Stegostoma tigrinum: one gene and its partners. The protein of the gene in region 2 interacts with the protein of the main gene of each other region in a pairwise test. Links are inferred from orthologs where the notes say so. Each region holds a gene or a part of one and is shown on either strand. Other genes may lie near its edges.

Region 1 (7,147 bases), on a different chromosome or scaffold from region 2:
AGTACAGCTTTCAAAAAAAAACAAAATCGTTACTTTTAAAAAACAGATTCAAACATTTACCATTTTAAAACAAAAAGGAGACTGAAGGACATTTTTGCAAGTCAGTCAAACGGATAACAAAAACGTCTCAAAAGGTTAAAAGTCGACACGGAATTCCGAATCTTAGCAATAATGCTTTGAGCAGTTGACATGCTGAGGTCAAGGCAAAGAAGGAAATTAAAGGCATTCGCAGCATCACTTTACACACTTTCTTAGAGTTAGCGATACGATGCAACAACATAGCGGTAGATACACCATTAAAACAGGGCATGGCGTCAAAAAAAAAAAACCAAGGTGGCAAAATTTTCCAAATTTCCAATTTCTAATGTGCTCAAAGTGCTTGCAATCGAGAGGTGTGAATGGAATGCGTTCTTCGGCAGGATGAATTGAAACTTCCAACTCCAAAACAACCCTGAACAATGCCCAAGAAATGGGATCATGGATGAATTCACCCACAGGACAACACGTCACAGAAACGTCACCCCCTTGTCTAGAATAATCCATCTGGGGAGCTGTTCGACATCCCATGAGGGTCGCTGCTGATGGTGAGTCTTTTGGCAATATCACTGGAAAAAAGCAGTCTATGAACGGAAATACAGCTTGAAGGCGGTGGAAAACAAGCCTGCTGAGGTCAAGGCAAGGCAGCTTTGTGGCGATGTACAAGTTTAAATCCTGTGGTATCTTGAACTATATGCTTGTGTTCTGGCTTCGTAAACCATTGAAAGTTCTTGATTGGAATGATGGTCGGAAGATGAAATTCAACATACAGGTGTGAAGTGATACATTCTGGCACAAAGAACATGGAGACAAAGTATAAATGTGTCCACTGCTGTCTGTATGGAGAAGCCACACCCACAATGCCATTAGGGAGAGAGTTTCAGGATTTAGAAACAATGACACTGAAGGAATGGCAATATATTTCCAAGTCTGGATGGAAAGTGGCTTGGAGATGGTGTTCCTACATGTCCACTACCCTTGTCCTTCTAGATGTTAGCGAGTATAGGTTTGAAAGGTTCAGTCTTAGGAGCCTTGGTGAATTCCTGCAGACCATCTTGTAAATATTACACATTGCTGCTAAGCGTCATTGGTGGAAGGACTGAATGATTGTGAAAATGATGCCAATTCAAGTGGACTGCTTTGTCCTGGATGGTATCAAGCCTGAGTGTTGGCGCTGCAATCATCAAGGGAAGTGAGAAGAATTCCCTGACTTTGCCTTGGAGATGGTGGAAAGGCTTTAGGCAGTTACAAGGCGAGTTACACACTGCAGGATTCCCAGCTCCTGACCCAGCTGCTATACTTATATGACTAGTCCACGTCAGTTTCTGATCAATGGTAACCCCCAAGATGTTGATTGAGTGTTTCAGTAATGGCTACGCCACTGAACGTCAATGTTAGATTCTCTCTCCTTAGAGATGGTCATTCCTTGGTACTCGGATGTCACTTGGAGTATACAAGCTCCATGTGCCACACCATAGGAAGGCTGTGAATATACCAGAAAGACTGAAGAGGTTTGCAAAAAAAAAATGGTTTCAGGGATGAAACACTTCAGTTTTGGGGAGGCAATGAAGACATTGGGACTGTTTTCTTTGGAGAGAAGGCTAAGAGGAGATTTAATAGTTTTGATAACCATGAGGGGTCGAGACAGGGTGGATCGGAAGCAACTGTCCCCACTTCCAGAAGGATCAAGAATCAGCTGGCATGGTTTCAAAATGGCTTGCAAAAGAAGAAAATGCAGGGAACTTTTTTCCCCCTCAAGTAGTTAGTAGGTGGAGTCTGGAACGCATTGTCCAGTAATGGAAGTATTCAAGAGAGCGTCGGACAATTATTTAAACAGAAACAATGTACCAAAAGAAAGGAGATTGACACGAAGATAAAGTGCTCAAATAGCTGTTTCAGAAACTAATAAACCTAATGACTTTCCACACCATGAGCTTCCTGAGATTCTCGAACAGTCAAGAATCACATAATACGGTGATTAACATTGCTCACTTTCCAATTAATCTCGGAAGGCAGTGCGCAACGAGGACTAATAAATTGGGCAACCAATATCATCAGCACGGGACAGTGTGTTTTGGTAGAACTTGGGATGTTACAAGGTAGGACTTGTGTGATGAAACCACGAGGAATACACCCAACGTTGGCAACCCTACAACAGATGCTTTTTATCTATTCGGCACATTACCAACATGATAAACACTCAAGAACGTCAGGATAAGCGAATTCTATTTCCAAACAGTGGGATCACCGTCATCGAGACGCTACGTAACTGTCCTAGATAACAAGGTGTAGAGCTGGATGAACACAGCAGGCCAAGCAGCATCAGAGGGGCACGAAAGCTGACGTTTCGGGCCTAGACCCTGAAGAAGGGTCCAGACCCGAAACATAAGTCTGCTGTGTTCATCCAGCTCTACACCTTGTTATCGCAGGTTCTCCAGCATCAGCAGTTCCTAATATCTCTACGTAACTATCCTATACTGATGGAAATGTTTCTGAAGCAATCTGTCCAGTTATTTTCCTGATTGGCCCTTTAAACGTTCTTAAGACATATCAGAAGACAGTAAACATCCTCAGGATCTTTCTGTCTGTATATTCCAAGATGAACTTTTTTTTTAAAAAAGGAGCATTACAAAAACAGGAAGGACGGGACAAGACACGGGGACGGCAGCCAGCTGCGGGTAGGATCTGGCGCAGCCAAGCCCAAGAGCTCAGTCAGTACACCTACTCCCTGACAAGGCCGCACACTCCGCAGAGATCGTAGTCTCACATCACCCATAACTGGAAAATAAGAAGAGGAAACCTACCGGGCCCCTCTGGGTGGAGACGGTTGTAGCCGCCATGTCCAATCCAGCCAAGCCACACTCTCGTCCACCACTGCCACTACCCCTACAGCCGTTCACAGCTCCTTCTCTGGGCGGCGGAACATCAACTGGGCTAAGGGCCGCTCACGACTCCTGCTCATTGGCTGGAGGAAGGGGTGGGAAATGAGCTCAGTGCCTTGCCATCGGTTAATTCTCGCGCAGTGCCGGCGTGCGGGCCTCCACGATTGGCTGCTCCTGGGAAGGGTCTACACCCATAAGCGCTACGATTGGCTTTTTCGGGGTACAGCCTGCAATCACAAAGCTACGATAGGCTGCTCCTTCACCGGCTCTGGTATTCTGGGCCCTGTGATCGGTTAATTCTGGAGAAGGTAGATCTGAGCTCGCTGATAGGTGGCAGCCTCTTCCCGCTTCCACGGAATGGATGTTGATCAGTTTTTCTGGACGCGGCTCAGTGTTTCTAGCATTTTCTGCATCTGTATCCGAAGTCTGTCACTGCCAGCCTTTTCCTCGCTTCCTTTGCACCCGGGTTGAGGCTAGGGTACAACTTTTGTCCGACTGGTCATACCGTGTTTTTACAGGAAATATTCAAACCTGTTTAGAAATTTAAGATATATAAAGTTGTCACGATCGGCGACGTTAGCAACGAGTAACGCAAAGCTTTCCCAAAGAGGTAGGTTTAAAGGTGGGATAACTGTGGTTCCAGGGACAGACGGCGTGGGAGTGCATAACGTACTCAGCATGAAAAATAATTTATGCATTTTAACAAGGCAAAGGTTTTACCAGTCAATATTTTCACAATTTGACGTGTGTAAGCAATTCAGAATAAATTTACCATGGTCGTGGTATCACACTATTGTTGTAATGCATTCAAACATAATAATATGGTAACACTTCATTGCTTTTCATATCCATGTGGCCTGTGTTGGCTCAACTGCGCAAAATAAGGAATACTATTAATGAATTTGATTTGATTTATTATTGTTACAAATACAGTGAAAATTGTTTAGTGTCGCCATTATCCAGCACCAGTTTGAAACACAGAAAATAAACCAAAACATAGAAAGTGAAGGCAGAAAATAAAGAAATGTTCAGCTTAGCATAGACCTGGATCTGGGCACTTGCCCCACCCCGATGCTAAGAACAACACAAGAATGAAGCAGGATGATAAAATGTGAGGCTGGATGAACACAGCAGGCCCAGCAGCATCTCAGGAGCACAAAAGCTGACGTTTCGGGCCTAGAGAAGGGTCTAGGCCGGAAACGTCAGCTTTTGTGCTCCTGAGATGCTGCTGGGCCTGCTGTGTTCATCCAGTCTCACATTTTATTATCTTGGATTCTCCAGCATCTGCAGTTCCCATTATCACTGATCCAAGAATGAAGCAGTCTGCCTTTACTGCATTGCCGCCACTAGAACAGAGTTGCCATTCTTCACCCCCATGTTGCCTCTACTAATGCTGCTGCCACCATGAGTCCTTGCCGATGATGTAACCACCACCAATGCAGTTGAGTGTACGGGCTCAAACTTGACCTGGCTGCTGACCCAAGTCTGCATCATAGTCCAAACTCGGTGATGCAGTCGCTGATGCTACTGGGTCTTGGATTGGGCCCAAACTTGCTTCCACCATCAAGAATCCAAAAACTTGTCACGCTTCTGCACTGAACTCATATTGCCGCCAATGATGCTGCTGCTCTCAATAAGAAGGTAAGTTTAAAAAAATGAGGAAAATTAAAAAGAAAGACAAGCAACTGGAGCAAACAAGCCCGAACTGTTCCTGCTCTGTCTCCACCATCTTGAAGTAGGACATGCTGTGACAGCATGATGATGTTTGGCGATAGCTTCGTGTCCTGTTCTAAATTGTCCTGGCAGCACTCAAAATTGAAAATACTAATTGGCATACTGAATATTTACACAGATGTAAACATTCTCTGGAAACTGGTTGCTAATACTGGTTGATTGCACTATTTTCATCCCAAGGAAAGAAACATACTAAGGCAAGGACGAGGCAACCATGGCGAACAGGGTAAGTCAGGGACAGCATAAAAGCAAAAGAAAAACGTGCTGCGTTGGGAAGACTAGTAGGAAACTAGAGAATTGTGAAGCCTTTAAAAACCAGCAGGGGATGACTTAAAAAACACAAAGAGGGAGAAGATGAAATATAAGGGTAAGCTAGCTAGTAATATAAACGAGGATTGCAAGAGTTTTATTCGATATTTGAAAGGTAACAGAGTGAAGTGTAGACATTGGATAACTGAAAAATGAGACTGGCGAAGTAGTAAAGGAAACAAGAAATAGTGGAGTATCTGAATAGATACTTTGCATAAGCCTTCACTGTGGAATACACCAGTAACATACCAGAACGTCAGGATAGTCAAGGGGCAGAGGTGAGTGTCATGGCCACCACTAAGAAGAAGGTGCTGGGGATGTTGAAAGGTCTGAAGATTGATAAATCATCCGTACCAAATGGACTACACCCCAGAGTTCTGAAGGAGATACTTGAGATTGTGAAGGCATTGGTGGTGATCTTTCGGGAATCATTGGAATCAGGAAGCGTCCCAGAGGACTGGAAAATGGCTCTGTTTAAGAGAGGGAGGCAGAAAATAGGAAACTTTAGAACGGTCACTGGTAAAATTTTAGAGTGCATTATTAAGAACAAAAACAAGGTTGCTGGAAAAGCGCAGCAGGTCTGGCAGTATCTGTGGAGGAGAAAACAGAGTTAATGTTCCGGGTCTGGTGACCCTTCCAGCATTATTAAGGTTGAGAGTACTTGGAAATGCATGATAAAATAGGACTGAATCACCAGTGCTTTCATCAAGGCTTCATGCCTGACAGATCTATAAAAATTCTTTGAGGAAGTGATGAGCAACTTTGCCAAAGGAGTGCCAGTGAACCTGATCTATTTGGATTTCCAGAAGGCCTTTGATGAAGTGCTGCAGAGAAAGCAGCTAAATAAGAGAAGAGCCCATGGTGTTAGGCGCAAGAAAGTGGCATAGATAGAGGCTTGGCTGACTGGCAAAGGGCAGAGAATGGGATTAAAGGGGTCTTTTTCAGGATGGAATCCCGTGACTAATGGAGTTCAGCATGGTCAATGTTGGGACCACAACTATTCATGTTATACATTAATGATCTGGATGTAGGAACTGTGAGAATTGTTGCTATGTTTGCAGATTACACAAAGCTAGGTGGAGGGATAAGTGTATTAGAGGAAGTGGGGAGGCCTCAGAAGGACTTGGAAAAGCTAGGAGAATGGGCAAAGAAGTGGCAGAAAGAGTACTGTATGGTCATGAACTTTGGTTGGAAGAATAGGAGGTGGATGATTTTCCAAATGGGGAAAGGCTTTGGAAATCTGAAGCATAAAGGGACTTAGGAGTTCTAGTTCAAGATTCTGAACTAGAACATGCAGGCTCAGTTGGCAGTTAGGAAGGCAAACACTTGATTGCAAGAGCTGGAATATAAGAGCAGAGTTATACTGAGGATGCTGTATAACTGGACTTTCCAAGTTCTTCTGGTCAGACTGCATTCAGAATATTGTGAGCATTTTTGGGCTCCATATGTAAGGTAGGATGTGCTGACTTTGGAGGAGGTCCAGAGGACATTTTCAATAGTCATCCCAGGGATGAAGGGTGAGGAGTGGTGTGAGGAGCGGTTAAGACCACTGGCACTGTTCTTGATGGAGTGTCGAAGGATGGCAGGTGAAAATCTTATTGAGATTTACAGAATACTGAGAGGGCTGGATAGAGTGGATGTGGAGGTGGTTTCCACTAAGAGGAAAGAATAGGACCTGAAGACACAGCCTCAGATTAAAAATATCACCCTTTAGAACTGAGATGAGATGGAATTTCTTCACCCACAGGGTAGTGAATCTGTGGAACTCATTGCCTTGGAAGACTGTGGAGGTCAAGTCATTGTGTCTGTTTAAGACAAAGATGTATAGGTTCTTGATTAGTAAGGGTATCACAGGTTACTGGGAGATGGGAGGAGAAGGGGGTTGAAAAACATATCAGCCATGATCAAATGATGGAGCAAATCCAGTGGTCTGAATAGCCTATCACTTCTCTATCATGTGGCATTATTTTCAGTTTTTTTGTACATGAAATCTCGCACTTATGTCACACATCATCCAGGCAGCCCCTCAGCTGTGGCAGTTTTGCAATGTCAGAGCTAATAGTGATAGTAACAAAAATGATCAGGTATGGCTGTCTAATATATTTATTATTATCTTAACATTCATCCGGCACCATCATCAAAAGCAACTTGCACTTTGGAGTTCTGAAGAAAAGTCAACAGACTTG
Region 2 (7,308 bases):
AATCTCCGGTAAAGGGAAAAATGCTTTCAACATCCCCCTCATCCTAATGGCCATCTTTATGTATGGCTCCAAAAAGCTATACTTGGACCCTGTGCAGAAAGACCGAAATGTCAATCTATGCTCCAGTTCTATCTGTCCTCATTTAGTCACATTGGTTCAGAATGCTCATCAGTTAGCTTGTGCTGCACCAGCTGGCCATGCAGAAATGTTTCTGCAGAAAAACAACTTTGACCACAAGTTAATCATGCACCGAACTGGAAATCAACCTACTTGAGATCCTGCTGGAAAGGAGATAGTGGATCTATTAGATGATTCCTGCACCAACATTTTCAAACAAGTGCCAGGACTTGGCTTGGCTGCTGAAGAAAAGGGCACTCTGTGTCAGATCCTGAACACATACCTAATAACTCCATGCCAGTATACACTGTCCCTGTGACAGCTGAGCTGGGGAAGAGACTATCACCCCTATACTTCCAGAATGTGCATTGCATCTGGAAAGTAATGTAAGATTTTTGTTTAAGTTTACCTTGAACAATTCCTTATCACAGGACTCTGCTCCACGGATAGTTCTCAACAGTGCACACCAAGTAAATATTAACTGCTGCTTGATCCATAAACTTGCTGAATGACAAAGAGCTGAATACGACTGATTGTTGCAGACTGCCAAATTCCAAGGTGCAGGATGACATATAGTGGGATGCTGTTAACCTGAATGCAGCCACTTGAAAGGATTATTGGTAAGGCTACAGTACAGAGCTTTGCTACCCTTGAACACAGAAGGGCTAGAGCCAATATAAGACCCCTCAAGATTTATATGTGTATCTGAAATTAAGCGCAGAAAATATACAATTGTTGTAACACAAAATGAGGTTATTGAGCCTTTGCTAGCACTGTGCAAGACCAAATTAGCTAGTTCCACACAAACAGAAACAGAAACAGAAGTGGCTGGAGAAACTCAGCAGGTCTGGCAGCATCTGTGGAGATAAAACAGAATTAACATTTTGAGTCCAGTGACCTTTCTTCAGATCTCCAGCATCTGTGATTCTTGAATTTATTTTAGCTAATCCCATGATCTAACCTTTCTCCATAGTCCTGCAATTTATTCTGTTCAGATGCTAATCAATTCCCTTTTTAAATCCATGATTAAAACTACTTTCACCACTCTCCTCATAGTATATTCCAGAATCTAACCACTCACAACATTGTATATTGTCCTTATATTGCATTTAGTTCTTCTTGTCTTTCATCACAATCAGTATCTTCTGTTTCTCAACCCTTCTGCCAAAGGGAACTTTCTCTTCGTCCAGTCTGCAATAACACCATTAATGCTTTTATCACCTTTATCAAATCCCCTTTCAATCTTCTCTCTTCTAAGAATAATCCCAGTTTGTCTAATCTTACCATGTAACTGAAGTTCCTCATTCACAGAATCACTGTTGCAAATCCTTTCTGCATCCTGTCTAAAGCTTCACATATTATAAATAGATTATATCCAACAACTCAGAGTAGTAAGGGTATGGAACGCTTTGCCTGCAACGGTAGTGGATTTGCCAACTTTAGTACATTTAAATCATCATTGGACAAGCATATGGATGTACATGGAATAGTGTAGGTTAGATGGGCTGCAGATTGGTACGGCAGGTCGGCACAACATCGAGGGCTGAAGGGCCTGTACTGTGCTGTAATGTTCTATGTTCTATATAGTACTTTTAATAGAATAAAATGATACAGAGCACTGCATAGGAGCATTATAAAACCAAATTTGGCATGAAGTCAAGTAAGGAGATACCCACAGGTGACCAAAATTGTGTTTAAAGAGAGATGTTTTAAGCAAATTTCAAAGGACAAAGGAAAGGTTTTAAAGGAGGAAGTTTCTGGCAGTTGAAGACACCAGTACTGCAGCAATTAACAACAAGATGCTTAAGAGACTAGAATTGGATATCTGTAGATGACTTAGAGGGTTGGCGGGCTGGAGATGAATTCAAAAATAGGGAGGATTGAACCATGGGTGAGATTTCAAAACAGGTATGGGAATTTTAAAATCAAGGCATTGCTTAACTGGAAGCCGTTATAGGCAAGCAAAGCAGAAAGATGAAATGAGCAGGACTTGGGGCAAATAAAGGCAGAGGTAGCAGAATTTTGGATGGCATCAAGTTTACAGAACAGAAGAATGGGAAATAAGAAGATATGAAAATGGGAATTGATGGTCATAGTGATGTGCAGACTGCGGGCAGAATCTCCATTCTGGCTGGAAGTTTTGTACCGTCTGGCTCAGATTTAAACAGGCAGAAGATGCAGTCAATGGCAAAGAAAATGAATGTATAACGTGGGTTAAAGAAGATTGGTTCAATTTTCCCAAAGCTTAATTGGAGAAAAATAATGTTATGTAAGTGCAATATTATTTTTGTGCAGTCTGTATGTTCCATGGAGTAAGGGATCCTTGAGTGCATGAATTATATTTATTTAAATTGATCTGTATTCAATGTATACTGAATTATACTGTAATTTTATAATTTATCAATATATAATTCTGGGACAAACAGGCTCTTCTAGATCTAAGAACCAAAGTTTAAGACTTTCCAACATGTGTTTGATTTACTGAAGAGCCAGGGTCCAATCTATCCTGTTGGTATTCCCCATCCCGATCATCACCCCTTAACTATCTTAGGGTGGGATAATGCCAGGTGCATGCAGGCAAAACTAAGGAATGACCTTCACATTACAGAGGTCAAGGTGATTTGCAGGGCACCTTTTACTGATTCCTATTCCCCATTTAAGATTGTGTTTTTAAATATGTTAAATATGCTAGTTAATGCTATGAGAGTTAGCCTAAAGCTAAATACCATATGTTGCCATTGTAGAGTGCTGTACAGTCCCAGTAAACCATGACTAAGCTAATTCATCGCTCTGTATCAGTTCATAAACCAGCTGGCATTTTAGAATTACGTCAGAAATGAACAGTACAGTCAGTAATCTTATGAGTTTCCATATGTTAGTGCTTTAAGTGTGCATTTAATGGGAGCAGTTGATTACAGGGAACTACCACAGTCAATTCTATTTGTGTTTTATGTTGCATGTACATTTATTAAAAATATTGTGCAGCATCCTATGTATAAAACATTTTCTTTAAAAAATGATAAAACCCAGAACTACATAAATAGGTATATATCTCAACTGCCACTTAGTTTTTTCAAATGCATTTATCAGGACTTGACGGCTCTTTGAATCCTTAAGTTTTACAACTCTGAGTACATTCAGTTTCCAAAAATACATGTATTACGTTGAAAATTATTATACTATAATTGGAACACTGAACGTCAGACAATTCCAAGCAATTGCAGCTTAGAGTACTAAATTGACGCATTGTAATTTCTGGGAAACAAAAAGCTTTAATTTCATCCATGTAAATAAGGTGTTGGAACAGGATCCACTGACATTTCCACTAGGAAAACAACAGTAAGACTGTGTCCAGCACTTGGTGTTGTAAAGGACAAACACACTGCAGCAACCCTAGTGTGTGAAGTCTGCACTGCATTGAAACATTACATCATCCCTGACCAATCAGAAGTGAATGAGTGACTGGGAGCGATTCCAGCTGTTTATGTTGCTCTCAGGAAAGAGTGAGCGCGGCCCTTCAGCTGGATGGGATATTCCTGCAGCGTGTTTCTGTTTAAAGGAACCTTTCCAAAACTGCTCCACTAACGCCCTTTTTAAAGGGATATTCCGCAGTTCACTTCAGCAGACAGCGCATTTCGAAATCAAGGATCACATCGATGACGAAGGCAAAGTTTTAACTGCAGACGTTGGAAAGATGAGTGGGAAAGGCAATCTCATACTCGAAATCAAACCTTGAAGGGTTCGGCTTTGAAGTATAAATTGGGTTCAAGTGAAAATGCATGGGTGTCATTGGAGTAGAGCGAGTGGAATCCAAAACGCACATGCATCACACACTTACACCAGTCGTTTGCACTTGGGACAGTTTGAATTTGAGCATTTCCTCCATTCAATAAAATCCATACTTCAGAATGACAAAAGCTTGTTAAAAGCTGAAAAAAGTTCTACTTACATAAATTGGTTCATACATATGTTGATATATTTATCGTCTATTCAGATTCATTTTACCTTTCTATTCGGCCCCATTTCTTCCACTTCAGCACAGTAAGTTCCTGCATCGGACGAGTTAAATTAGTTGGCAGCTTGCAATCTGCACTGTTGCAACAAACACGTTCTATTGTACTGCCCTAGGCAAGTTACTCGACTGGCTTTTAAAGGACTTCTTGGTTGTACTGTACACGTGACTTTTACAAGTTTAACTTTACTTTCAAAATTTATCGCACTCCTGCGCTGACGCGTAGATGTATATACCATGCCCGTACATAACACACTGCAATATGTTGACTGTGTTCTGTTGCAATTAGGACTTCTTTACGTAGTTTTCTTCTAGCCCTCTCAACGCGCTCACATTAATCTCTGGATCTGTTGGCAGCCGGCCAGTATGTGTGTTGTCTTGCATCCTTTGCATATAGTAGAATCCTTAAGCTATCAGCAGACGCAGCCAAGTGCTCCATATTTGGCTTATGTTACACACACGCAGTGAGAGCGAGCGCTGGAGGAGAGAAGCAGAGCAGGAGTGGTGTCTGCAAGACAGACATTACTACAGAGCTACAAGCTCGGCTTCCTTCATCGCGGAGCGCCACGTCTTGGGCATCACCGCCTTTTTGATGTTGTAAGTGTTTTATATAAAGAAATATATATTTTACGGTTCTTCTCCAGCGACATTGGCTATTTGCTTTCATTTCCTTGCTCTGTGTATGTGTAGGTTGTTATGAAATGGCTAGGCTCCCTCTTATAGTACAAACACAGCCTTGCTCAGAAATCTGATTGAGAAAACTGTGTGTGTATTTTGTGTGGTCTGTGTGTGATTATGAAGTGCTGCCCTGAGTATGTGCTGTGATGTTTTCGTCCGGGTTGTGTGTGAGTGGGGAGCGTTAGGATTGGGGTTGGGGGGACGGCAGGTAATGCTTGGGGGATGATGTTTTGCTGGGGAGGAGGCGGATGGGGGTGGGGGGTTGGGTGCTGGTAGGGGTGGAGACTGAGGGGATGCCGCGGCAGGGCTCGGGAAACGGCGGCTCGTCAGGGAGCTGACCGCTTGTTTAATCGGGTCATGTAGGAGACGGGCTCGCCAGAGCGTTGCGTAATCGGGTAGATAGGGCTGGTCTGCAGAAGGGAACATTTTTATCTTGTTTACAACGCTGCCGATACATTGTAGTGCGATATCTATGCGGTCAGACCATCCAAGCAGACAGTGGCACCACGCAAGTCTCTTTATTGTTACTACCTCGGTGACTCATCGGCAAATCTTATTCCTCCATCTGCTTTTTTCTACAACATTATTGCAGGCTGTTGGTTTTGAGTGTGTGTTGAACTAGGTCGTTATCGATGGCCAATAAGCATATAAAAATTGTTGGACTTGATAAATCTCAGCACATTTGTCCAAAGGACCTATTGGCTCCAGAATTTATCTGTAGCCCTTATCCCACAAACACGTCAAGAATTTTGTGTTTAAAATGAGTACAGTTTGTGTCAAATGAAAGAGCAACAAAGGGCGGCGAGATCAGTTTTTGTCCACTAGCATTATGCGTCTGACACTTTGACTATCCACCCTCCCGTCATTCAAATGCAGAAATTCAAGGCAACACCACATTAAACAAACACTTAAAACAAAACGTGGACATTGTTTTCTGGTGAGTCAGTAACTCCTCTTTCTGAGGCAGAGCTGCTGCGTAAAAAGATCATGAATGAGACTGGGAATACTATAATTATTTCCAAGCCATTGCATCAGTGTTGACAATAAGCAGTTAAAAATACATTAACTGTGTGTTAACATGTTCAATGCATTGGATAATGAAAGTCTCAGAAATGATTTCCATGTGTGGAAGTTCTTGGAGAAGCTGTCGTGTGCACTACACGTACAAAGATGTTGGTGTAGGATTTCATTGCGCTACCCCTGGACCTGATCAATCATGTAATTAGATCAGGTTGCCCTGGTAACTGACGTTATTTATCTCTTCAATGAGGTGCGCATGCTTATCTTGTAAAAGAGCTTGTGTCCTTCGGCATATTTCATACTGTAAGTGCCGGGTGGTCACATATTTATCCATTATTTTAAAATGGATTGAATCCGGTATTTATTTCAGCAGTAAATAAACATATTTGTTCGAAGTATTTCAAGATAAAAGGCCTTGTAACGTGTATACATAAAATACTAGCTGATAGCCAATCAAGGCCGTGTGATGGCAAGATGCTGCTGTGAACACCGCTTGAAGGCTTGCTGTTAAAGACCTAACTTGGAGGTGGAGTGTGGGTTATGTGAATCTGGCTCATTGTAACTGTTTAGAAACTGTTGAGGTCAGTCAAAGGGCAGTTGTAACTAAGTTTTAGGTGCCAGATCAGCGACTGCATTTACTGTCCGTTTAAAAAAATGTATCCAGTAGCATGGTGTGACGTAGTGTCTGGAATGTAATACATGCACCACACTGGATGCAAGTTTTTTTTTATACTTTTGTGTTTTCGGATGTAATAGTTATGCATGTTAGAATAAGCCACCTAGGTGTCTAAAAAATTATGTTGTATCTGTGGAACACTTGAGAATGTAGTATTTATTGTGCTGGAGATTTTCAAATATGATCTAATTTCTATTAAGTGGTAGAGATGTACATAGAAGGATATGATAGCCACATTTTCAATTTTGCTTTCTTAACAGAATCAATATAGATACACAATATATGGTGTTGTACAAAGTATCCACATTAAGTCTTCATGGAGATATTTAACATAATCTAGTGTCAATATCATAATTTGTGTTGAGTACGTTTTGGCTGAGGACCATTGGTGATCAGCAGTGAATTTTGAAAAATAGCTGTGTTTTGGCATGCATCAAAATCAGTACATCTTTTAGTATGAGCTGAAAGTAGGTGAGGCTAAAATAGTATCAGAGATAATGGGAACTGCAGATGCTGGAGATTCCAAGATAATAAAATGTGAGGCTGGATGAACACAGCAGGCCAAGCAGCATCTCAGGAGCACAAAAGCCGACGTTTCGGGCCTAGAGGTGAGGCTTGTTGTTGCTGGCACATACTTGAATGATTAATCTTTGTATTCATTTGAGTGATTAAAAAGAATCAATTACCTATACCTACGGGTATCAATCTCAGTATTCTATAATCAGGGAGATCATTCGGATACAAAGGAGACAGCTGAGTTGAGTCACAGTAGGTATTCATGTTTTTTATGTTGCCCTTACATTTC
Region 3 (7,371 bases), on a different chromosome or scaffold from region 2:
CCTACTCAAACTATCTCACAAGAGTATCCCTCCTTATCCAGGATCAAACTACTGAACCTTCTCTAAACTGTCTCCAATGCCAGTGTGCCTTTTATTGGATAAGGGGCTCAGAACTGCTTCAAGTATTCAACTACAGTCTGACTTGTATAGGCCTTGTATAGTTTTAGCAAAATGACTCATTCCCTTTGTAAAAGGAAAGCGAAGATTGCATTTGTCTTCCCTATTACCTGCTGAACTTGGATACTGGCAATTTGAGATCCGTGCATGAGAAATCACAAACTCTATGCTGTAGCTTTCTGCAGGCTTTCTCTATTTAAATAATATTTGCCTCCTCTATTCTTCCTCACATGTCCACCACATAATATTCCATTTAAAGTTTTTGCCCACTTGCTTAACCTGCCTATATGCCTCTGCAAAGTCTTTGTGTCACCCTCACTACGAGCCTTTCCACCTATCTTTGTGCTGTCCACAAATTGGACTACAGTACAAATCATGAAAAGGGTAGATAGAAGTGGATAGTGAGAAGTTCCTTCCACTTGCAAAAGGAAGGAAAATGAGATGGCGTAAATTAGAAGTCTCGCAAAAGCAGCAAATGTGATGAGAGTTCATTCTTTTCCACCTAGTGAACAATTAGGGTCTGGAACGTGCAGCCTGGAAACATGGTCGAGGCAGCATTCACTGATTACTTGGATACAATAACATGCAAGAGTGTGGCGGAGCAAGGACGTAGGAGATCGGTCACACATGACAATGTTCATTTGAGGAACTGTCGCGCCCAATGGCATCAATCTGCACCATAACAATTCTGTGATATATTGCAAATAATTGCAAGAACAGTATTGATCCCTATGGCACTCAACTAGTTATAGGTTATCATCTGAAAATACCCTCCGTTATACAAACTGATGTTTTAGCCAATTCTCTATCCAGGCTAATATAGTGCCTCCTTCTCTTATTAAATAGCATTATGTGTGGTACCTTCTCAAACACCTTCTGAAAATCCTAACACATCACATTCACACTTTTCCCCTTATCTAATCCTCTTCATTATTACCTCAAAAGAATTCTAGAGAACTTATCAGGCATGTTTCCCATTGATGAAGCCATCTTACTATTGCTTGATTATATTTCTAAATGCTCTGCTATTACATCCTTTATAAAAGACGCTAGCACTTTCCCCAACAAGTGATGTTAAGGTAACTGGCTTACAGTTACCAAGCATTTTGGTTGCTTCTGTTTTCAAATTAAGGTGTTACATTGGCAGCTTTATTATACTTGATCCGTGCTGACACCACAAGTTTATTCCTCCTGGTAAGGGTGGACGTCATTTGGGCCAGAATGGACAGCCAGAGGACCTACTGCTGACTGATGAGATGACAATGTTTGAGCTGGCATAAAGGGAGAGTGAGAAGCAAACCATTCTGAACCTTGGACTTTTTGATCAGTAGGATGATCGCATCCTCAGGGTCCTGTTGCTCCTTCTCATGGTGCGAGAACAACTGGATGGCAGCAAGAAACGCTGGAGAGAAGGAAATCAGAAAACAGCACTTTAGAGAAAGTGAAAGAAAAGGAGGCTGGTTGGTGATCACAATTATGAGAGAGTCCAGAGTGAAGTAAGTGGATTGGCATGCTGACTATAATGGGGCAATCACCAGGGTAGGGGGAGGAACAGGGGTGAACACTGCAGGGAGGGAGGGCGACATATGTCCACAGAACATGAAAAACCTATCTCTTGATCCTGTAACTAGGGAACCAACATCCATGAGGACAGGATCACAACACTGGGTGGAGTGAGATCAGCTGGAGATCACTGTTCACTGCCCTACCCCAAGAGGCAGGGCACACCGCCTGACAAGCTCCATGTCCCATCGATGCCAGGACAACAGCCCCGTCTCCCGAGAGGCTGCCCCCCACTGAGAGAGCAACTTCAAACCTCTCAGGAAAGACTCCCCATAGTCCGTGGGGGGGGGTGATAGGGGAAGGTCGGGTGGGTGTGGGACGGGGGGGGGGTGATAGGGGAAGATCAGGTGGGTGTGGGACGGGGGGGGTGATAGGGGAAGGTCGGGTGGGTGTGGGACGGGGGGGGGTGATAGGGGAAGATCAGGTGGGTGTGGGACGGGGGGGGGGTGATAGGGGAAGATCAGGTGGGTGTGGGACGGGGGGGGTGATAGGGGAAGGTCGGGTGGGTGTGGGACGGGGGGGGGTGATAGGGGAAGATCAGGTGGGTGTGGGACGGGGGGGGTGATAGGGGAAGGTCAGGTGGGTGTGGGACGGGTGGGTGGGGGTCACGGGGAAGAGGAGAACGGGGTAGGTGGAGGAGGGGGGGGAGAAGAAGAGAGGAAGGTCACGCGGGGGGGAAAGAGGGGAAGGTCACGGGGGGGGGAAGAGGGGAAGGTCACGGGGGGGGGAAGAGGGGAAGGTCACGGGGGGGGGAAGAGGGGAAGGTCACGGGGGGGGAAGAGGGGAAGGTCACGGGGGGGGGAAAGAGGGGAAGGTCACAGGGTGGGTGGGGAGGGGAAGGTCACGGGGAGGGGTGGGGCAAGGTCACGGGGAGAGGGGGTGGGGCAAGGTCACGGGGAGAGGGGTGGGGCAAGGTCACGGGGAGAGGGGTGGGGCAAGGTCACGGGGAGAGGGGTGGGGCAAGGTCACGGGGAGGGGTGGGGATCACGGTGAGGGTCAGAGCACTGCATGGACCCTGCGGCCCGGGCCACGGGAGCCCACAGAGAGGGGAATCAGGTCGGGACTGAGGACGTCGGGGGGAGGCGGGGTCAGTGCAGGCTCCGCCCAGGGCCGGGTGACCGACCGGTTCCACCCCTCTTACCCACTGCCGCCGCGCTCAGGTTCCCATTTCCGGGGCGGCCGCGGCTCTCCGTTCGGGCGTGGGCGTTGGCCGGGGCGGGGGCGGGGGCCGCGGCCCAGGCGCCGCGAATCCTGACCCTTCGGCCGCAGCTCAGGCCCCGGGATACTGCCGACGGCAGCATCACCCCGGCAACGGGGCGGAAACACGTCAACACCGGAAACAGGTAGCGGAACATTTGATCAACAGACATTTAAAGGGCCAGGTACCCCCATGTTCTTAAAGGGCCAGGTACCCCCATGTTCTTAAAGGGCCAGGTACCCCCATGTTCTTAAAGGAGTCTGGAATTAAAGTGTCTGGGTGGCGGGATGTGTGTCAGACTGATTTCTGATTTTGTGAGAACACGTTTTCTCACTGCTTTTTTGGTGGACTTTATAAAGTTAAGGTGTAAATTTAACCAGAAATAGTGTTTATTTCACACATTGTCAGGTGTACGGTGGGCAATACTTTACAACAGATACATGCTGACATGGCTGCACAAGGATTAAATTGAAAAGGATAAGGCAATTGTTCAGTTCGTAAAAAGTGCAAACAAACCGAGTGATAAAATGTGAGGCTGGATGAACACAGCAGGCCAAGCAGCATCTCAGGAGCACAAAAGCTGACGTTTCGGGCCTAGACCCTTCATCAGAGAGGGGGATGGGGGGAGGGAACTGGAATAAATAGGGAGAGAGGGGGAGGCGGACCGAAGATGGAGAGAAAAGAAGATAGGTGGAGAGAGTGTAGGTGGGGAGGTAGGGAGGGGATAGGTCAGTCCAGGGAAGACGGACAGGTCAAGGAGGTGGGATGAGGTTAGTAGGTAGCTGGGGGTGCGGCTTGGTGTGGGAGGAAGGGATGGGTGAGAGGAAGAACCGGTTAGGGAGGCAGAGACCGGTTGGACTGGTTTTGGGATGCAGTGGGTGGGGGGGAAGAGCTGGGCTGGTTGTGTGGTGCAGTGGGGGGAGGGGACGAACTGGGCTGGTTTAGGGATGCAGTGGGGGAAGGGGAGATTTTGAAACTGGTGAAGTCCACATTGATACCATATGGCTGCAGGGTTCCCAGGCGGAATATGAGTTGCTGTTCCTGCAACCTTCGGGTGGCATCATTGTGGCAGTGCAGGAGGCCCATGATGGACATGTCATCAAGAGAATGGGAGGGGGAGTGGAAATGGTTTGCGACTGGGAGGTGCAGTTGTTTTTTGCGAACTGAGCGGAGGTGTTCTGCAAAGCGGTCCCCAAGCCTCCTTGGCAACTGCACCTCCCAGTCGCAAACCATTTCCACTCCCCCTCCCATTCTCTTGATGACATGTCCATCATGGGCCTCCTGCACTGCCACAATGATGCCACCCGAAGGTTGCAGGAACAGCAACTCATATTCCGCCTGGGAACCCTGCAGCCATATGGTATCAATGTGGACTTCACCCGTTTCAAAATCTCCCCTTCCCCTACTGCATCCCTCAACCAGCCCAGTTCGTCCCCTCCCCCCACTGCACCACACAACCAGCCCAGCTCTTCCCCCCCACCCACTGCATCCCAAAACCAGTCCAAACTGTCTCTGCCTCCCTAACCGGTTCTTCCTCTCACCCATCCCTTCCTCCCACCCCAAGCCGCACCCCCCGCTACCTACTAACCTCATCCCACCTCCTTGACCTGTCCGTCTTCCCTGGACTGACCTATCCCCTCCCTACCTCCCCACCTACACTCTCTCCACCTATCTTCTTTACTCTCCATCTTCGGTCCGCCTCCCCCTCTCTCCCTATTTATTCCAGTTCCCTCCCCCCATCCCCCTCTCTGATGAAGGGTCTAGGCCCGAAACGTCAGCTTTTGTGCTCCTGAGATGCTGCTTGGCCTGCTGTGTTCATCCAGCCTCACATTTTATTATCTTGGAATCTCCAGCATCTGCAGTCCCCATTATCTCTAACAAACCGAGTGATACCAGTTCATCAGTGTCTTTGATTTTGAAAATAGAAACCAAATGGTTGAGGCCAGAAGTCGCAGCATGAAATGAGGATGAATGGTGATCGATTGGCTGACGAGCTGTTCAGAAGTCAGAGATAATTTGTTCCCCTTAAAAATTCCTTATAAACTCAACTCAAGAATATTCATAGAATCCCTGCAGTGTGGTAGCAAGCCATTAAAGTCCATCAAGTCCACACCACCCCTCTGAAGAGCGTCCCATCCAGACCCATCCCAACTGTCTTATCCCCTGCCTTTCCCATGCTTAATCCACGCCAATTCTTGGACACTGTGGGCAATTTCCCATGGCCTGTTCACATAACTTGCAAACCTTTGGACTGTGGGAGGAAACCAGAGCACCTGGAAAAAAAAACAGAGATAATGGGAACTGCAGATGCTGGAGAATCCAAGATAACAAAGTGTGAAGCTGGATGAACACAGCAGGACAAGCAGCATCTTACCACACAGGGACAGGGAGAATGTGAAAATTTCACATGTGGGTGAAATTGAACCCAGGTCCCTAGCATTATGAGGCAGCAGTACTGACCACTGAGCCACCATGCTGCCTAATATTGCTGTAATTTAATTTTGATTTAACTGCTTTAACAAAAGAAGGATGATTACTTTGAGAGCACACAACATACAGGTTCTGACGAGTTATTCCTGACCCGAAGCATTAACGTCTTTTTTTCTCCACAGAACCTGCCAGACCTATTTGGTTTCTCCAGCAATTTCTGTGCTTTTCAAATTTGTTTGCCAGATGCTGTAGTATTTTGCTTTTATACAAAAAGCACGTTATTAACTGCTTTTTACATGGCAGAGTCTTCTCCTTTGTCGCCTGGAATTATGTGTTTCGATATCATTGAATATATCTGTAAATAAATACATACAGCAGAATTAAAAGGTTCAGAACTGAAGGAACCATGTGATCAAGCTTCCAGGGGGGAGGGCATGTTGGTGGAGGGGTGCAGAGTGAAGAGGGGTGTAACCAGTTATTTTGAGACAAACAGTTGCATTCCACATAAACACGTCTGCTACAGAATAGGGCTACCTTCTAATTTTATTGAGGATGATATTCTTCCCAGGAACAATCAGTCTCTGTGGCACTTTATAACACAATAGTTGGAATTCCAGTCCCATCATGGGGTGTTGATTATCCAACTGACTCTGACTTCAGAGAAGCTTCTGGTTAGTTAATGCTAAGTTTTTGTAACCAAGTGAGCACTAGTGAGTGGTATCTTTGTGCACTTTTTGCTGTACTTTATGTGTTCCTGTATTTAGTACATGTGACAAATAAATGAATCTAAGTCCAGTGACATTATTGTGACAGCATCTTTATTGGGCTGTTTAATATGTTTCTAAGAGTCATAGAACATAGAACAATACAGTGCAGAACAGGCCCTTCGGCCCTCAATGTTGCGCCGACCTGTGAACTAATCTAAGCCCCTCCCCCTACATTCTCCCATCATTATCCATATGCTTATCCAAGTCACTAAATATAGCCCTAAGAGAAACAATTAATCACTTTTTTTCTTTACAGAACCAGCTTCAGCAGTGCCCTAGACCAGCAATAGTAGGACATTCAGCCCATCGAGTCTGTTCCGCAATTCAATGAGATCATGGCTAATCTGATAATCCTCAACTCCACCTTCCTGCCTTTTCTTCACAACCCTTGATTCCCTTTGCTGATGAAAAATCAGTCTTAAATATACTTAATGACCCTGTCTCAAAAGCCCTCTGTGGTAAACAATTCCACATCTTCACAGCCCTCCAAAACAGGAAATTCCTCCTCATCTTTGTCTTAAATGTACGAGCCTTTATTCTGAGATTAGACCCTCTGGTCCTAAACTGTCTGATCTTTCTGCATTGACACTGTAAAGCCCGTAAGAAACTTGCATGGTTCAATAACGTTGTCTCTCGCTTTTCTAAATGACAATGAGTACAGGCCCAATCTATTCAACCTCTCTTTATAAGACGGTTACACTGTACCTCGCATCAGCCACGTGAACCTTCTCTGGGCTGTCTCCAATGCAAGGACATCTTTTCTTAGATAAGGGGCACAATTTTAATTCTAAAAAGGCATTTCTTACAATGTTGTCAATTTCTGCTGTTTTTCCTTGTTCTCTTGTAATTGCCCTGATGGTTGTTTTTTTCTGTCCTTAGTTTGCATTGTTTGTCCTGTTTTGTTTTCTATCATTATTTAGCATCATTCAATAATTTTAATAAGCACAGTATGGACTCAATGGACTCCCAGCAAATTCTAAAACATTGATATAAATTGCAAGAAGCTGAGGCCCCAGCTCTCCTGTGATAGCAAATGCAATTCTATTATTCAAAAAGTGAGGAAGACAGAACACTCAGGTGATGCTGAGGAAGTGGGGAGGCTGCAGAATGACTTGGACAGGCTAGAAGAGTGAGAAAAGAAGTAGCAGATGGAATACAATGTGGGAAAGCTTTGGTAGGAAATTTGGTAGGAAGAGTAGAGGCTGAGACCATTTTCTAAATGGGGAAAGGCTTCAGAAATCTGAAGCACAAAGGGACTCAGTCATAGAATCATAGAAAGAGGCCCTTCAACCCAAA
Region 4 (6,924 bases), on a different chromosome or scaffold from region 2:
TTTGATAATGTTCTTCACTGTCAACGATACCTCCCAGTTTTATATCATCCACAAACTTACTAATCATGCCTTGTACAGTCACATCCAGATAATTTATGTAAATAACAAATTACAAAGGTCCCAGCACTGACTCCTGTGGCACAGCACTGTCACTGGCCTCCAGTCCGAGAAACAACTTTCAACCACCACCCTCTGCTTCCTGCCATCAAGCCAATTTTGAACCAGACGTTCTTCCACATACAGTCGTGAACGGTGGTGGACAATTAAGCAACTCACAGGAGGAGGCACCTCCACAAATATCTCCATCTTCAATGATGGAACAGCCCAGCACATCAGTGCAAAAGGTAAGGCTGAAGATTTCGTCACAATTTTCAGCTAGAATAGCTGAGTGGATGTTCCATCTCAGCCTCCTGCAGTGGTGTCCAGCATCACAGATAACAGTCTTCAGCCAATTCAATTTAGTCCACATGATACAAAGAAATGGTTGGAGACACTGGATCCTACAAAGGCTATGGGCCATGACACACCTCTGGCAATAGTACTGAACATTTGTGCTCCAAAACTTGCTGCTGCTCCCCTAGCCAAGCTTTCCAGTACAGCTGCAACACTGGCATCTATCCAACAATGTGGAAAATTGCCCAGATATGTCCTGTTCACAAAAAGCAGGACAAATCCATTAGGTCAATTGCTGCTCCAATAGTCTCCTCTCGATCATCAGTAAAGTGATGGAAGGTGTCAGTAACAGTGGCTATCAAGCAGCACATGCTCAGCAATAACCTGCTCAGTGACACCCAGTTTGGGTTCTGTCAGGGCCACTCAGCTCCTGTTCTCATTACAGCCTTGATTCAAACATGGATAAAACAGGTGAATTCAAGAGGGGAGGTGAGAGTGACAGCCCTTGAAAACAAGGCTGCATTTGACCAAGTGTGGCATCAAGGAACCCTGGCAAAACTGGAATAAATGAGTATGAGGGGGGGGAAACTCTCCAATGGTGGAAGTCATACCTGGCACATAGGAGGATGGCTGTAGTTAGTGGTGGTCAGTCATTTCAGTTTCAGACATCTCTGCAGGAGTTCCTCAGGGCAATATCTTAGCCCAACCATCTTCAGCTGTTTAATCAATGACCTTCCACCCATCATAAGGTCAGAAATAGGAATGTTTACTGATAATTGTACAATATTCAGCACCATTCCAACTCCTCGGATACTGAAGCAGTCCGTGTTCAAATACAGCAAGATCTGGACAATATCCAGGCTTGAGCTGACAAATGGCAAGTAACATTCATGCCATACAAATGCCAGGCTATGACCATCTCCGATAAGAGGCATTCTAATCACTGCCCTTTGACATCCGATGGTGTTACCATCGCTGAATCCCTCAATATCAGCATTCTTGAGGTTACTATTGACCATAAGCTCAACTGGACTCGCCATATCGACAATGGCTACAAGAGCAGGTCAGAGGCCAGAAATCCTGCAGCAGTAACTCACCTCCTGACTCCCCAAAGCCTGTCCATCATCTACAAGGTACAAACCAGGAGTGTGACAGAATACTCCCCACTTGTCTGGATGGATGCAGCTCCAACAACACTAATGAAGCTTGACACCATTCAGGACAAAGTAGCCCCCACTTGACTAGCACTACATCCTCAAGCATCCTACTCCTTCCACCAGCACTGCATGTTATTTGCTAGATGCACAGCAGAAATTCACCAAAGATCCTCAGGCAGCACTTTCTAAACCCTTGGCCACTTCCATCTGGAAGGACATGGTCAACAGAGGGTCTAGGCCCGAAACATCAGGTTTCCTTCTCCTGAGATGCTGCTTGGCCTGCTGTGTTCATCCAGCTCCACACCTTGTTAACCCAAATGCCATAAATGAATTTTAAAAATTCTAGAAACGCTCAAGCCAAAGGGAGAGATGCAACAGACAGAGTCTCTACTTCATTGAAGCTACCACACCAAAGAATTACTGGTATTTGCTACTTTTGTTGCAGTCATTGGCGATCCTGTATTTATGACAATGTGGCCTGGACACTCCCCTACAAGTGCAGCAACTTCCCCATGAAGACTGTATTCAACCCGGTCGTAATATTCATGAACAAAAACAGAAAAAACAGAAATTGCTGGAAAAGCTCACCAGGTCTAGTAGCATCTGAGGAGAGAAATCAGAGTTAACGTTTCAGGTCCGAAACATCAACTGATTCCTCTGAGATGCTGCCCGACCCGCTGAGCTTGTCCAGCAATTTCTTGTTTTTGTTTCGGATTTACAGCGTCTGTCGTTCTTTCAGTTTTCACGACCTTCAAGATCCCGAACAGTTCTGACTTACTGCTTCAGTTTGCCAAATGATCAAGTTCAGATGCACTTTCACAAAAGATTTCATCTTTAACCCGGTGAAAACATTTTTTTAAAAAACACTTTTTAAAAGATCAACTCAGGAATCGACTGACAGACACAAGTGCTCGCTTGGTGTGACGGTAAACAAGCAATTTTATAAACAAACAAATTCACAATACGACATATGACGCAGTGTTTCACACCGAGTCTCAGCTCCACCTGAGGAAAGCCACTCACCCCTAGCCCCACAGGGCAGGTACAGGGCCAAACTCCCCCCCACACCAAACAGGGAATCCGTCCCCGCGGCCCGTCTATCCCTACATCAGTCAGGGACTCCATCCCGGGGGGAGTGAGGAGGCTCCAGAATGGGAGCTCCGCTCCAAACCGGCCTCCCCCACCAACCAGATCCCTGCCCCATAGCAACGCGGCTCGGAGCACGGCCCAGTCGCTCTTCTGACACCCCGACCCCCGGACACACACACTCACACTTTCCCCCAATTACCTACCCCATTACCCCATTACCCCATTACCCCATTACCCCATTACCCCATTACCCCATTACCCCATTACCCCATTACCCCGACTCTCTGTCACTCACTCTCCTGTCACCGCCATGTTGCTGGTTTCTGCTCTCACGTGAGCTGCGTGGCCTTTAACCCCAGTCGGGTCACGCCCTCTTCCCCATTCGCCAATAGTGACTCGACGAGGGGTGGGGTGGGTCTGGAAACGTGTGGCCGCAAAGACCGCCGGGATTTGTAGTTCGCTTTTCCTGCCCACACTGAGCCCGCCCAGTCCGACACCGTGCGCTCTGACCCCGCCCACGGTGACCCCGCCCACTGTGACCCCGCCCTCTCCCCCGCTCAGGGAGGCCGCAGAAGCGACCCTTCAGCCCATCAAGGGAAGGGCCGTCTATCACTCCCAAACAGCTGCAGGGACTTCTTATTCTGCACTTCAGCCACACCATTTGTCTGGTCTTGTGAGCTCTCTCAGCCCACAAATTCTGTCAGAAATCACACAGCACCAGGTTATATTGGAAACATTAAGTCAATAAATGTGGAGCTGGAAAAGCACAGGTAGGTCTGAGGGGCAGAAGCAACAATGTTATGGGCTGGGACGTTGGCATTCCTGCTTCTCCGGTGCTGTCTGACCTGCTATGCTATTCCATTTCCTCCTTTATTGACAGCACCCTACCAATGTCCTCCGACGCCACTCGCAGATTGCCCGTTGAACCCTAATGTGTCCTGGTTACCCATTGAAAGGATAGAATCAGACCAAGCTGCGATGGTTTCGGTGGTTGAATTGGCACGAGTCATATGAAGTGAGTGATCCTTGCAGCTGTAACTCAGTTTGAGTCAGCAATTTCAGATGTCAGAGAGTAATGATCATAAAATTATATTGCAGTGCTGGCCTATGGAAGGCGTTGGATTAGTTTTCAAAGGCTTTTTGGGTTTAAAGGTCCATGTATGCTGCAGAATGCAGCCAGGCAGGGTGGAGTGGAAAAAAAGTACTGGAGAAACAATAGGTTAGTCAGCATCATGGAGAGAGCACACCTTCAGAACAGAAACAGAATGAAAAATCCACATTTCAATAGAATTGGAAAATAGGAGAGAAAGCGCAAAGTTCTGGTGATGACCTTCCCCTAGCCATTGGTGGTCACAGTGCTGCAATTTTAAAACAAACCCCTCCTCCCAGCCATCTTCCTGCAAAAATTCCATCCCCTCTTCCCAATTCCTTCACCTCTGCCGCATCTGCTCCCAGGATGAGGCATTCCACTCCCGTACATCTCAGATATCGGGCTTCGTCGGAGGCTTACTGATGATGTTACCTAGAATGGTGACGAAATGTCTGAAAACTAACCTTCCAGCTCGGCGAGCAAACTCACATCCACATCTCAGATATCCTCGTTCTTCAAGGACCGCAACTGCCTCCCCCCTCAGTGGTCGAGAACGCCCTTGACCGTGCCTCCCGCATTTCCCGCAACACATCCCTCACACCCCGTCCCCACAATAACCGCCAAAAGAGGATCCCCTTGTACTCACATACCACCCCACCAACCTCCGGATACAACACATCATCCTCTGACACTTCTGCCATCTACAATCCGACCCCACCACCCAAGACATTTTTCCATCCCCACCCCTGTCTGCTTTCCGGAGAGACCACTCTCTCCGTGACTCCCTTGTTCGCTCCACACTCCCCTCCAACCCCACCACACCCGGCACTTTTCCCTGCAACCGCAGGAAATGCTACACTTGCCCCCACACCTCCTCCCTCACCCACATCCCAGGCGCCAAGAAGACTTTCCACATCAAGCAGATGTTCACCTGCACATCTGCCAATGTAGTATACTGTATCCGTTGTACCCGGTGTGGCTTCCTCTACATTGGGGAAACCAAGCAGAGGCTTGGGGACTGCTTTGCAGAGCACCTATGCTCAGTTTGCAATAAACAACTGCACCTCCCAGGTGCGAACCATTTTAACTCCCCCTCCCATTCCTCAGATGACATGTCCATCCTGGGCCTCCTGCAGTGCCACAGCAATGCTACCCAAAGGTTGCAGGAACAGCAACTCATATTCCACTTGGGAACCCTGCAGCCCAATGGTATCAATGTGGACTTCACAAGCTTCAAAATCTACCCCACCCCCACTGCATCACAAAACCAGCCCAGCTCATCCCCACCTCCCTAACCTGTTCTTCCTCTCACCTATTCCCTCCTCCCACCTCAAGCCGCACCTCCATTTCCTACCTACTAACCTCATCCCGCCCCCTTGACCTGTCCATCATCCCCGGACTGACCTATCCCTTCCCTACATCCCCACCTGTACTCACCTCAACAGGCTCCATCCCCACCCTTTTAACTTGTCTGTCTCCTCTCCACCTGTCTTCTCCTCTATCCATCTTTCATCTGCCTCCCTCTCTCTCCCTATTTATTTCAGAACCCTTTCCCCATCCCCCTTTTCTGATGAAGGGTCTAGGCCCGAAACGTCAGCTTTTGTGCTCCTGAGATGTTGCTTGGCCTACTGTGTTCATCCAGCTTCACACCTTGTTACTAAAACATTGCCACATTGGTGTTCACACCATACAACTGCCAGGCGATGACCCATCTCCAACAAGTGAGAATCTAACCACTGAGCCTTCATTTTCAGTAGCCTCACCATCAATCTATCCCCAGCTATCAACATCCTGACAGGTTACCATTGACCAGAAGCTGAACAGAGCTAGAGGTACAAACACAGTGACTACTCCAGCAGGTCGGTGGTTACAAATCCTGCAGCAATAACTCAACTCCTGACTCTCCAAAGCCTGCCCACCATCTCCACATGGATGAAGTCAGGTAACAGATTGAAATTTTACTTTTGCTGTGTGATTAAGATACTTCTGACTGAGTTCTATATTTAAATAGCTTCATTTTTATTAATTTTTATTTTGTGAAATGCTTTCTGTTCAGTTGTTGTAGAAACACAGCGATTGGGCATCACACTACCTAAGCTCTTTTTTGAAAAATCCATCAAACCAAATTTTCATTCTGGAGCTTGTCCTTGTGTGACTTTCCCAGCATTACTATCAACTGGGATCATTACACTACCCTGAACAAGTCATCATTGCACCAATGGACAGTGTTGGCCAACAAATCCCTATCAAAAGCCTGGATCAATAGCAAGCCCAGGAGGATGGGGTGCGAGCAAATGGAATAGTTGAGTTGCTGATCACATCCACCCCCTGGAAGCTTTGCAGAACGATTTTCGAGATGTAGATGAAGACTTACAGAGTTGAACGGTGTTTGAAGGATGAGTATAAGTCAACAACGCTGACAGTCCCTGACTGGAAATTCTACAGTCGATGCAATCACTAGAACGCTGCAAAATAGCAAAGCGTGTAGAAGATGTGGCATTTTGCATGGTCTGAGGATTTATTTCTAAAATACATTTCTGGGACATGGGCATTGCCGGCTGAACCAGCATTTATTGCCCCTCCCTAGTTGCACTTGAAGAGGTGGGGGTGAGCTGCTTCTTGAACTGCTACAGTCCATTTGCTGTGGGTTGACCCACAATGCCCTTAGGGAGGGAATTCCAGGATTTTGACCCAGTGGCAGTGAAGGAACAGCGATACGGTTCCAATTCAGGATGGTGAGGGGTTTGGAGGGGAACTTGCAGGGGATGGTATTCCCATGTATCTGCTGCCCCTTGTCCTTCTAGATGGAAATGGCCATGGGTTTGGAAGGTGCTGTCTGAGGATCTTTGGTGAATTTCTGTAGTGTGTGTTTTAGACGGTACACACTGCTGTGACTGAGTGTCGGTGGTGGTGGGTGTGGATGTGGTGCCAATCAAGTGGAGACTGTTTAGTCCTGGATGGTGTCGAGCTTCTTGAGTGTTGTTGGAGCTGCCCCCATCCAGGCAAGTGGGGAGTATTCCATCCCACTCCTGACTTGTGCCTTGTAGATGGTGGGCAGGCTTTGAGGAGTCATGAGGTGAGTTACTCACCACAGTATTCCCAGCTTCTGGCCTGCACTTGTAGCCATTGTGTTAATGCAGTGAGTCCAGTTGAGTTTCTGGTCAATGACAAACCCCAGGATGTTGATCTGAGGGG

Evidence for each region.
Region 1: the proteins of atxn1a (region 2) and tollip interact in binary tests that used the Homo sapiens proteins (3 or more experiments, as listed by UniProt). The link is inferred for Stegostoma tigrinum from reciprocal best matches to the Homo sapiens genes ATXN1 and TOLLIP.
Region 3: the proteins of atxn1a (region 2) and ttc19 interact in binary tests that used the Homo sapiens proteins (3 or more experiments, as listed by UniProt). The link is inferred for Stegostoma tigrinum from reciprocal best matches to the Homo sapiens genes ATXN1 and TTC19.
Region 4: the proteins of atxn1a (region 2) and pepd interact in binary tests that used the Homo sapiens proteins (3 or more experiments, as listed by UniProt). The link is inferred for Stegostoma tigrinum from reciprocal best matches to the Homo sapiens genes ATXN1 and PEPD.

Annotation. Positions count from the first base shown.
Region 1 is NC_081370.1:25,089,754-25,096,900, reverse strand, and holds the start of tollip (toll-interacting protein), read right to left. Parts: upstream 3,012-7,147; 5' UTR 2,877-3,011; coding exon 2,841-2,876; intron 1-2,840. UniProt on the Homo sapiens protein: Component of the signaling pathway of IL-1 and Toll-like receptors. Inhibits cell activation by microbial products. Recruits IRAK1 to the IL-1 receptor complex. Inhibits IRAK1 phosphorylation and kinase activity.
Region 2 is NC_081355.1:38,405,248-38,412,555, reverse strand, and holds the start of atxn1a (ataxin-1a), read left to right. Parts: upstream 1-4,289; 5' UTR 4,290-4,726; intron 4,727-7,308. UniProt on the Homo sapiens protein: Chromatin-binding factor that repress Notch signaling in the absence of Notch intracellular domain by acting as a CBF1 corepressor. Binds to the HEY promoter and might assist, along with NCOR2, RBPJ-mediated repression. Binds RNA in vitro.
Region 3 is NC_081358.1:127,544,299-127,551,669, forward strand, and holds the start of ttc19 (tetratricopeptide repeat protein 19, mitochondrial), read right to left. Parts: upstream 3,016-7,371; 5' UTR 2,982-3,015; coding exon 2,822-2,981; intron 1,995-2,821; exon of another isoform or gene 1,870-1,994; coding exon of another isoform or gene 1,827-1,869; intron 1,520-1,826; coding exon 1,428-1,519; intron 1-1,427. UniProt on the Homo sapiens protein: Required for the preservation of the structural and functional integrity of mitochondrial respiratory complex III by allowing the physiological turnover of the Rieske protein UQCRFS1.
Region 4 is NC_081369.1:65,641,624-65,648,547, reverse strand, and holds the start of pepd (xaa-Pro dipeptidase), read right to left. Parts: upstream 3,013-6,924; 5' UTR 2,952-3,012; coding exon 2,935-2,951; intron 1-2,934. UniProt on the Homo sapiens protein: Dipeptidase that catalyzes the hydrolysis of dipeptides with a prolyl (Xaa-Pro) or hydroxyprolyl residue in the C-terminal position.